3 linked regions of the Macaca fascicularis genome follow. The protein of the gene in region 2 purifies or fractionates together with the protein of the main gene of each other region. This does not show direct contact. Links are inferred from orthologs where the notes say so. Each region holds a gene or a part of one and is shown on either strand. Other genes may lie near its edges. The genes, in order: NLRC4, CASP8 and FASLG.

The links.
Region 1: the proteins of CASP8 (region 2) and NLRC4 purify together in Homo sapiens (affinity purification with western blotting; 3 studies listed by BioGRID and IntAct, with this or other methods). This does not show direct contact. The link is inferred for Macaca fascicularis from reciprocal best matches to the Homo sapiens genes CASP8 and NLRC4.
Region 3: the proteins of CASP8 (region 2) and FASLG purify together in Homo sapiens (co-immunoprecipitation; 8 studies listed by BioGRID and IntAct, with this or other methods). This does not show direct contact. The link is inferred for Macaca fascicularis from reciprocal best matches to the Homo sapiens genes CASP8 and FASLG.

Annotation. Positions count from the first base shown.
Region 1 is NC_088387.1:89,939,752-89,943,403, reverse strand, and holds part of NLRC4 (NLR family CARD domain-containing protein 4), read right to left. Parts: intron 3,229-3,652; coding exon 3,061-3,228; intron 1-3,060.
Region 2 is NC_088386.1:97,051,667-97,055,318, reverse strand, and holds part of CASP8 (caspase-8), read right to left. Parts: intron 2,703-3,652; coding exon 2,564-2,702; intron 2,443-2,563; coding exon 2,398-2,442; intron 421-2,397; coding exon 356-420; intron 1-355. UniProt on the Homo sapiens protein: Thiol protease that plays a key role in programmed cell death by acting as a molecular switch for apoptosis, necroptosis and pyroptosis, and is required to prevent tissue damage during embryonic development and adulthood.
Region 3 is NC_088375.1:30,264,650-30,268,322, forward strand, and holds the start of FASLG (tumor necrosis factor ligand superfamily member 6), read left to right. Parts: upstream 1-863; 5' UTR 864-1,083; coding exon 1,084-1,428; intron 1,429-1,979; coding exon 1,980-2,025; intron 2,026-3,673. UniProt on the Homo sapiens protein: Cytokine that binds to TNFRSF6/FAS, a receptor that transduces the apoptotic signal into cells. Involved in cytotoxic T-cell-mediated apoptosis, natural killer cell-mediated apoptosis and in T-cell development.

The sequences.
Region 1 (3,652 bases), on a different chromosome or scaffold from region 2:
TTTAGCTCTAACAATATTTGCTTTATATATGTAGATTCTTCAGTGTTGGGGGCATATATATGTGTGTGTGTGTGTGTGTGTGTGTGTGTGTGTGTGTGTGTGTGTGTAGTCTGTGTGTATATACATGTATATGTGTGTATATATATGTGTGGGTATAATATGTGTGTGTGTGTATATATAATGATTATATCTTCTTACTGAATTGCCTTTTTTTTTTTTTTAAGAGACAGGGTCTTTGTCACCCAGGCTGGAGTGCAGTGGCACGAGCATAGCTCACAACAACCTTAACCTCCTGGGCTTAAGGGATTGTCTCCCTCCTCAGTCTGCTAAATTGCTAGGACTACAGGCATGTGCCAACACTCCCAGCTAATTTTTTTTGTTTGTTTTGAGACAGAGTCGCGCTCTGTCGACCAGGCTGGAGTGCAGTGGCGCCATCTCGGCTCACTGCAAGCTCTGCCTCCCAGGTTCAGGCCATTCTCCTGCCTCAGCCTCCGGAGTAGCTGGGCGCCTGCCACCACGGCCGGCTAATTTTGTGTATATTTAGTAGAGACGGGGTTTCACCGTGTTAGCCAGGATGTTCCTAATCTCCTGACCTCGTGATCCGCCCGCCGCGGGCTCCCAAAGTGCTGGGATTACAGGCTTGAGCCCCTGCGCCCGGCCTAATTTTTTAAAAAAGTATTTTGTACAGACGGGGTCTGCCTGTGTTGCTCAGGCTGCTCTTGAGCCCCTGGCTGCAAGCAGTCCTCCCACCCCAGCCTCCCAAAGCACAGGGATTACAGGTGTAAGCTACTATGCCCGGTTCACAAATTCTTTTTTTAAAAAAACTGAGGGCCCGGTGAGGCTCTTGCCTGTAATCCCAGCACTTTGGGAGGCCGAGGCTGGTGGATCACTTGAGGTCAGGAGTTTGAGACCAGCCTGGCCATCATGGCAAAAGCCCATCTCTACTAAAAATACAACAATCAGCCGGGTGGTGGAGCGTGCCTGTAATCCCAGCTACTAGGCTGAGGCAGGAGAATCACTTGAACCGGGGAGGCAGAGCTTGCAGTGAGCCAAGATCAAGCCACTGCACTCCCGCCTGGGAGACAGAGCGAGACTCTGTCTCAACAAATAACAAATTACAAATTATTGCCTAGCTCAGTTTATTTCATTAAGCACACCATCTCCTTCTCTGGTCTCAATGGCCAGCCTTGGGAGTGGACAAAGTAGGCAGCTACCTAAAGATTTAAAGGATGCTAAAAAACCTCAACCTAAAAACGCCTCCCCAACATGAATTCTAAATCTATATATTCTCCAAGGGCCTCTTGGAAAAGACACATCCTTTCCAACTCACTTAAGGTATGAGGTTACCTAAGAGGGATTATTTATCAGCTAGCTAATTAGCCTGTCACAGAAGCCACCTGACTCTAGTATAACCTAAAATAGAGGAAGGGCCTGAAGGAATGACACCAGAATGATGTGAGTTAATGGGTTGAGGGAGTGGATGGACGTGAAGTTAGGAATTAAAGGAAGGAAAGATCCAGAACTTGAAGCACCATTAGGAAGGCAAACCCTCGGGCAGCCTAAGGACTTAGGTATGAATCTCCAGGAAAGAAGGTTCTAAAAAGAGCAGCAGATGGGAGTTAATGTTTAATGGGTACAGAATTTTAGTTGGGGAAGATGAAAAAGCTCTGGAGATGGATGTTGTGACGGTGGCACAATAATATGAATGTACTTAATGCCACAAAGCTTTTACACTTAAAAACAGTTTAAATGTGGCCGGGCACGGTGGCTCACACCTGTAATCCCAGCACTTTGGGAAGCCGAGGCGGGTGGATCACGAGGTCAGGAAATGGAGACCATCCTGGCTAACACGGTGAAACCCCGTCTCTACTAAAAATACAAAAAAAAAAAAAAAAAATTAGCCAGGCATGGTGGCAGGCGTTTGTGGTCCCAGCTACTCAGGAGGCTGAGGCAGGAGAATGGCGTGAACCCAGGAGGCGGAGCTTGCAGTGAGCCAAGATCGCACCACTGCACTCCAGCCTGGGCGACAGAGCGAGACTCCGCCTAAAAAAACCAAAAAACAAAAAAAAGTTTAATAAATTGTATGTTACATAAACTAAACACATTCTAGACAATCTGTAAGAGAAATGAAGGTGATAGAGGCTGTCTTCATAAGTCCTTGGCTTTAGTATGATAGCCTCCAAGTTGACCCTGATGAGCCTGACCTCTTTGTATTCATGTTTCCATATGCTGGATTGGAATAACTTGTGCAACCAGTGGGATATGTCAGAAGTGACCAGAAATGAGTGGGCTGCCGTGTTGTGCAGACACTCACAGCCTGTGAAGAGGTCTAGTGATGAGGACGTGAGGCCTCCAGCCAACAGCCAGTGTTAACTTGCCAACCATGTGAGAAGTTACCTTGGAAGGACATCCTCCAGCAGCCCCTCTCATGAGAGAGGTCAAGCCAGAGCTAACCTGCTGAACTCCCAAGTTCCTGAACCACAGAAACTGTGAGATAATGGTTATTGTTTTAAGCCATTATGTTTTGAGGCCATATGTTATGCACAGATTGAAAACTAATGCAGAGAGTATGAGGGCTTCTTTCATCAACTGCCTGAGGTTGGTGGTGCCTTCAGTCATTTATATAGATCTATTTGTTTCTGGAGAATATTACAGTTATTTAAAGATATTTGGTGACTCTATTTAGATACAGCTACATTCACCTTTATATATAGTGTTGAATACCCAATAAGTAACTTGAAAATATTTCCTGATATTGGAGGGAGGGGCGTTGCTGAATTTCAGAAAGTTAAGGCTAGTAAGAACTATGACTAATATAATACATCTTACTGGATACTGTGAATGCTTTCCATTTAATTCTGTAGGTAAAGGGCTTACAACCTGAAGGAAGGCCGGTGTTTTAAGTCTTCTTACTCTAACATGAATGAATTCCTTAGACATACTTATATTTAAAAAAAAAGAGGAAGCAAAATAAAATAAGGGGGCAAAATAAGCAAAGCCAACTCAAGAACTTTTTAAGGGCCAAATCCATTTATCTTGGCTCGGTATGTGTGTACTTACCTAAAATTCTAATCTCTGTATCTGTGAGTCTCCAGTTTTTCAACCCAAGCTTGACGAGTTGTGGGACCTCCTCCAAATGTTTCAACAGGCTGGTCAGGCTGCCTTGCACATCACAGCCCCAGGGCAGCATCAGTGCAGTGAGCTGTTCTAGCACGTTCAGCCTGTCAACTGGAAGAAACAAAGAGCAGTTCAGGGACTGGATGATCTCAAAACTGAGGAAGAACGAAGGGATGTTGGGGAAGGAATGATCGTTATGTTTGGTGGCTCTGTAGCCTACTCAATCTGCAATGAGAATCTACTTAATTTTTGGTTATTTTTATGGAAAGTGTTCAAGCTTATACAAACATTATGCAGAAGAATATAATGAAACTATATATACTAATAAGTCACTTTTCAAAAACATTAAATCATGGGCAATCTTGCTTAATCCTGACCTAATTCCCCCGGTATTATTCTAAAGCAAATCATGGACAGTATGAATCAGTTCTTTCCTTTTTTTTTTCTTTTAACCATAATCACATATCACTGTCACACCTAAAAATCCATATCACCAATTCCTTAAGCAAATTTGTCTTGCACATCAGCTACTCTG
Region 2 (3,652 bases):
CTTTTTCCATTCCTGCTAGACTCTCCAAACCACTCCCCCATCCAGGCTGGCACGGCTGCTAGAAGATTTGGTAGGAGGCTTCTTACCCCCTCCACCTTCCAACTATTCCAGTATCTTCATTTGGGTCTTAAAATAAAATTTGAATGCATAGAAAACTGAAGGAGTCACGTTTTAAAAATTAAGTCATATTTTTAACTGTTTTTATGTGAATTTTTTCTACAGTTCTCAAAATTTTCAGTAAGTTTTTGCCTCTTATCGGTTTATCTGGCAGCTTAAAAAAAAAAAAAAAGCTAACAAATTAAGTAACTAGAATCTGTAATGTAAAAAGAAAAAGGATTTGGAGGTTTCCATCTACCTGTGATTCACTATCCTGTTCTCTTGGAGAGTCCGAGATTGTCATTAGCCCACACAACTCCTCCCCTGCAAATAACAAAGAGACAGGTGTAGAATGAGACATGGCAGGAAAGGTACACTGGTAATGAAATATGTAGCACATAGAACAACATAAGGTCTTTTTTCAGATGAAAATTCAAGCTGGGCACAGTGGCTCACGCCTGTAATCCCAGCACTTTGGGAGGCCAAGATGGGAAGATAACTTGAGATCAGGAGTTTGAGACCAGCCTGGCCAACATGGTGAAACCCTGTCTCTACTAAAAATACAAAAAAAAATTAGCCGGGCATGGTGGTAGGCACCTGTAGTCCCAGCTGCTCAGGAGGCTGAGGCAGGAGAATCACTTGAACTCGGGAGGTGGAGGTTGCAGTGAGCTGAGATCACACCACCACTGCACTCCAGCCTGGGCGACAGAGTGAGACTCTGTCTCAAATAAATAAATGAAATGAAATGAAAATTCACAGACGGCCATAAATATAATCTCCTTTCAACCCGGAGAGATTCTGCAAGCAGGGCAATTAACATGCTTCTGGAAATATAAGATCAAATTGTCTCCTCGCCAAAGAGAAAAACATACCAAGAAATGCCATAATTTATATTGCTCCACATGGCCAGGTTGAATTTTTGTGGTATTTGTGAGATACTCATTAATAAAGCCACTAGCTTAGGATGAATTAATGATTTAGTACTTTACTCCTTAAAGTATTCTTAAGGAGTAAAGCTTGGGCTCAGCAGGCAGGGAGGAAAGGGAAGGACAGCCTGCGTGGACATTAATCTTTAAAATACATTTGAATGATCCAAAATGTATTTTATACACACACACCACAAAGAGCCAAGGTAAAAATACAATAAAAATATAACCAATATTAATGGAGCGATGGCGTTCTTGGACTTATAAAAATTTATCTGAATTTAAAATCATCTTCAATGAGTATATATAATTTTTCTAATCAGAAAGAATACTTTATTAATTGCCTATAGTCCCAGCACTTTGGGAGGCCCAGGTAGCCGGATGGCTTGAGTTCAGGAGTTTAAGACCAGCCTGGGCAACACAGCGAAACCCCATCTCTACAAGAATACAAAAATTAGCCAGGCATGGTGGCTTGTGTGTGGTCCCAGCTACTCAGGGGGTTGAGGCAAGAGGATCGTTTGAGTCCTGGAGGTAGAGGCTGTGGTGAGCCAAGATTGCGCCACTGCATTCCAGCCTGGGGGACAAAGTGAGACACTGTCTCAAAACAACAACAACAACAAAAGAATATTTGATTAATCAAAATTTCGGAGGAGATCATTGAGAGTTCTCTCTCTTGATTCAGCCTCGCTTACCCAGGTAGAAAAAGTGAAAGGAAGTTGAAAGGAGTTGTTTAGTGTAGAAGGTGTTGACAGAGGAAGTGACTTAACCAAGGAAATTATGAAACATAATTTAAATCCAGCTACTCAGTGCATAACATGAGCAGCACATCAAGGAATAACATGAGCAGCACATCAAGGAGAAAAAAAAAGTCACATAGAAAAAATGATGTTAAATTACTTATGACTGACTCACTCTGCACCTGTTTCAAACTTGCCAGCCTGGGCTGCAGGTCTTAGGAGAGCAGGTGCGGCCGAGCGCGGTGGCTCACGCCTGTAATCCCAGCACTTTGGGAGGCCAAGGCGGGCAGATCACCTGAGGTCAGGAGTTTGAGACCAGCCAGGCCAACATGGTGAAACCCCATCTCTAATAAAAACACAAAATTAGCTGGGCGTAGTGGTGCGCGCCTGTAATTCCAGCTTCTCAGGAGGCTGAGGCAGGAGAATTGCTTGAACCCAGGAGGTGGAGGTTGCAGTGAGCCAAGATGGTGCCACTGCTCTCCAGCCTGGGCAACAAAGTAAGACTCTGTCTCAAAAAAAAAAAAAAAAGTAGAGCAGGCACATTAGGACGTGCATGTGGTAGAAGGCTGTGGGGAGGACACACGCAGGTACCAGAGAGTAAATTAACTAAATCTTGAAAATGTATCTCCAAGCATTACCATTTGAACCTTCCTCAGGACTTCCTTCAAGGCTCCTTGTTCTCTCTGAATTAAAAGAGGAAACCCCCAACAATATTTGATTAGAAACAACTGTGACATGGACAGATTTGTCAGTTTCAATTTTAGAGTAGGTTTTGCCAATTCCCGGCTGTCAGGTCGTTTCTACCTCTGCTGAATTCTTCATAGTCATTGATTATCTTCAGCAGGCTCTTGTTGACTTGGGCACAGACTCTCTTCAGGATGTCCAACTTGCCTTCTCCCAGGATGACCCTCTTCTCCATCTCTACGAAAATATCCAGCAGGTTCTAAGAGGAAGAGAAATAAAGTTGGGAATCTGGATTGAGCCCTACTGGTTTTTAGATTAGATTTTTTTTTTTTTTTAACTTCCACTTTCTCCAACCAAGGACCTGCCCTTGCTTCCCAAGTTTCTGACAGCTTCTGCTGGTCTCTCACAGCCAGCAGGCTACTAGGGAAGCGATTCCATGTTTTCTGGCCCAGAAAGACAGAAATGAGAGGATAAAGGAGAAGCCATGTCAGATGTCACCCAGTCCCCAGGCCCTGTGCTCAAATCTCCTGTGAATGCATTACTTGAGGACTGTAAAACAGCCTGAGCAGCCCAGTCACCATGGTGATGCCCTGGGGATGGCCTCACCCCCAGCATTGCCTCTCCAGACCTGAGTACATACAGACACACAGACACATACATACACACATGCACATACACACACACACACAGATACACACAACACACACAGACTATACTTAGTGATACACACATAGAGGCATAAATACAATACACACTACACAACACACACACAGACACATACCACAAGAGAACACACACACAGACACAGAGATACACAGACACACATACCACTTATACAGAGACACACAGAGATACACATATCACACACAAATACAGACACACACTATACACAGAGAAAGGCACGCACAGACACAGAGATGCACATACAACACACAGACATGCAAAACACACACAGAGACACACAACACACAGAGACACAAAACACAGACACACCACACACAAACACAATATACACACAGAGTTCCAGGTCCCAGGTCGTTTCGGGGACTGCGGAAGTGGAGGAAATGCCTCAGACTCACCGCTGTCTTTCCCAGCTCTGCCGGGTCTCAGGCTGGGCTGCATCTGCACAACCAGCCTCCTTCTCCCGGCCCCTGACTCCGCCTTGCTCCCGGTAATTAACATGAGCAGCACTTCAGTATAGAGGAATCA
Region 3 (3,673 bases), on a different chromosome or scaffold from region 2:
GAGTCCCCATCTCTACAAAAATAAATAAATAAATAAATTAGTCAGGTGTAGTGACTCATGCCTATAATCCCAGCTACTTAGGAGGCCAAGGCAAGAGGATTGCTTGAGCCCAGGAGTTTGAGGCTGCAGTTAACTATGATAGCACCACTCCACTCCAGCTTGGGTGACAGAGTGAGACTCTGTCTCTATTTAAATAAATACGTAAATAAATAAGCTGGGCAAACAATGAAAATGAAAACATTGTGAAATACAAAGCAGTTCTGTGGGTTCCACTGTTTGCAGCCTCTGATCTAATTTCTAAAGAGGGTGTAGCAGGTTTTTTAACCTGTAAATTATGGTGATTGGCAGGTCAGGGTAAATGGTAGTTGTGTGTGGGGAAGCGATGATGGCAACAGGTGTTTTCCTCCTGCAAAAACTAAAATGTGGGAGTGACTTCTCTGGCCATGGCTCCATGGTCTCTCCCCTCAGAGCCAATTTCAGTAAAATTTTTATAGTTTAAAAAATATGGTTCTGAACAATTTTTGTTAGAGGTATTTTGGTATTTTTAAATAGTTTTTTGGTCGTATACATGGTAGAATTCTTAACATTATACAATTATAATGTATAAAAAAGGATACAATTATAATTCATAAAATTATAGCCCCACTGGCCATTCTCCTGTAGCTGGGAGCAGTTCACGCCAACAGGGCTCTACCCCAATGCTGACCTGCTCTACAGGATCCCAGGAAGGTGAGCATAGCCTACCAACCTGTTTGGGTAGTACAGCGATAGCAACTGAGGCTTCCAAGGCTTTCGTCAGAAGATTGTGGGCGGAAACTTCCAGGGGTTTGCTCTGAGCTTCTTGAGGCTTCTCAGCTTCAGCTGCAAAGTGAGTGGGTGTTTCTTTGAGAAGCAGAATCAGAGAGAGACATAGAGAAAGAGAAAGACAGAGGTGTTTCCCTTAGCTATGGAAACTCTATAAGAGAGATCCAGCTTGCCTCCTCTTGAGCAGTCAGCAACAGGAGTCCTGTCCTTGACACCTCAGCCTCTACAGGATTGAGAAGTAAAACCGTTTGCTGGGGCTGGCCTGACTCACCGGCTGCCATGCAGCAGCCCTTCAATTACCCATATCCCCAGATCTACTGGGTGGACAGCAGTGCCAGCTCTCCCTGGGCCCCTCCAGGCACAGTTCTTCCCTGTCCAACCTCTGTGCCCAGAAGGCCTGGTCAAAGGAGGCCACCACCACCGCCGCCACCGCCGCCACTACCACCTCCACCGCCATCACCACTGCCTCCACTACCGCTGCCACCCTTGAAGAAGAGGGGAAACCACAGCACAGGCCTTTGTCTCCTTGTGATGTTTTTCATGGTTCTGGTTGCCTTGGTAGGATTGGGACTGGGGATGTTTCAGCTCTTCCACTTACAGAAAGAGCTGGCAGAACTCCGAGAGGTAAGCCTGCTGGCAGACTGCTGTGCCCTGGAGGCACCAGGCATAAGGGGGTGGAGGGCCCACTGCCTGGCTTGCAAAGTGCTTTTCAATCCTTTTTTTTTTTTCTTAGAAATGGGTTGTTCTAGTTATTCTATTCTATAGGCAGAGAAATGGAGGCTCATAGGAGTGAAGGGAATATTTTTTATTTTGTAAAGAATCAGAGCCCAACAGTTTTTCTTTCCTCAGTTGTCAACTCAGTCTGTTGAACCACTTACTGCCTCATACCTAGTGATTTAAGGAGTAAAAAACAAACAAAACTTTTAAGTTTTGCTTGGAAGTAAATTTGTTCAGATGACCAAACTAAATCTTGAAAATACTTAAAATACTGGTACGATTTCAAATCACAAAACTGAGGGACAGTGAAGCAAAATTGCTTGACCAAAGCCTGAGTCAGCAAAAGTTCTGAGGTATTTGGATTCTCTTTCCAGGGCTTGGTTTATTTGACGATTCTGTCTCTTTTGCTTAAATAATTTTATTTTTATTATGCATCTTTTTTCTTTCTCTTTTACTAGTCTACCAGCCAGAAGCATACAGCATCATCTTTGGAGAAGCAAATAGGTGAGTCCTTTTTCACATGTACATTGAGTTCCTAAAGGTGATCCTCAGCACTGAAATATGTTAATGGAATGCCTTATATTCTGTCCTACACTTTGGCTTATGTATACTATGAGAGGAATCCTGGCTAATTCGGAATCTCTGGTCAGTATGATTCCTTGAGCTGCTTTAAAAATGTGAAGTGAATTGAATTGCTCACAATCAATATAGCTGAGCACGGCACACAATTCAAAATCACTTCCGCTTGACTTTGGAAAGAGACACACATATACAACCGTGGACTTTTGCCCCCTGAGCAGTGGTTCCAGGCCTGTCCCCTTCCACAGACACCCTGGTCCTGGCACACATGCCAGTGGCTATGACTTCTGGGAAGAGAAGGCGAAGTGAAGGCAGAGACAGATGTTTCTGAGAAACGTCCTCTCCTCTTTTAAAGCCTCTAAAGAGATCACAGTGAAACTTTATTTATAAAATGTTTTATAGGATGTAAGCTTTTAAAATGTGGCTAATCAATTCCGTACATTAGAATGGTTTTTCTTGAAGTCACTGAGAAGCTGAAGGGAAGACTTCAGCCATCATTCAAAGGATGTTCAGCTTCAGAGGCAGTCATGAGGTACCCTTGATCACAAAGGAAAATCCTTTGTATGGGAGCTAGGGCAAGAAGACGATATGTTGGAACACTGATCTCGTGAAATTTCAGGGCATAGTTTTGCAAGCTCTGTACAGATGGATTTTACAATGTGCTTCACTAGCCTAAGATTCATTGAAATTTTAGATTTAGATTTACAATGAGATTCACTGAAGGTTTAGAGTTGGAAGGAAGCTTAGAATATCTAGTCCAGCCATTTCATTTTTTTGGAAGAGAAACAAAATGCCAGACAGATTAGGTGAATATGCCCAAGACCCCTAGTATGGAACTGGGGCTAGAAGGAACACAGGCTCTTGATGCCTTGTCACCTACAGGGCTTTCCGGTACTGGACTGGTGCCTCATGAAGTAGGGAAACTCCTGTCTCTCTGTAGTGAGCATGGAGTGAGAAATAGAGGAAAAGCAGGATACCTCTGCAAAGACTATAGATAGATCGCATCCTTAGAAACTCAGAATAAAGAAGAAGGCAGCACTGGCCATCTATTAAGTGAAGTAAGTTTCAGTTTCTCTGGATGTGGCTACTGCAGGCAACCCAGTCGCCTGTCTACTGTCCTAGACTGTTAAGTTCTTATAGGAGCCACTGTTGGGAAGCTCTGGCCCCTGAGTCTGTGTCCTAATCCTTAAATGTTAGAAAGTCCATATGTACACAAGCAGAGTGGAAATATTTGCTAGAAAAATAAAGCCTCTGGAGGATGTCTCAAATAAGATCATTTTGAAAACCTGTGGAATGTGCCTGGTCTGATAGGTACCTAAGCATTCATCTTTTACCTCCTCTCTGGAGTCAATTTAGTGATTAAAAATCAAATGACCAGACGAGTCATGTCCATCTACCCCAGTAAGCAATTATCTTCTCTAGATCAACCCAGATGAACCAGAAATTGTTAAATTATCACAAGGAAATCAAATCAGTAACTTTACTAATAAGAAAAGAGATGCAAACTAAAAATAGGGAACACCAATTTTCATCAAATTAGTAAAGTTAACAAAAACCCAGACTGACAAAGATT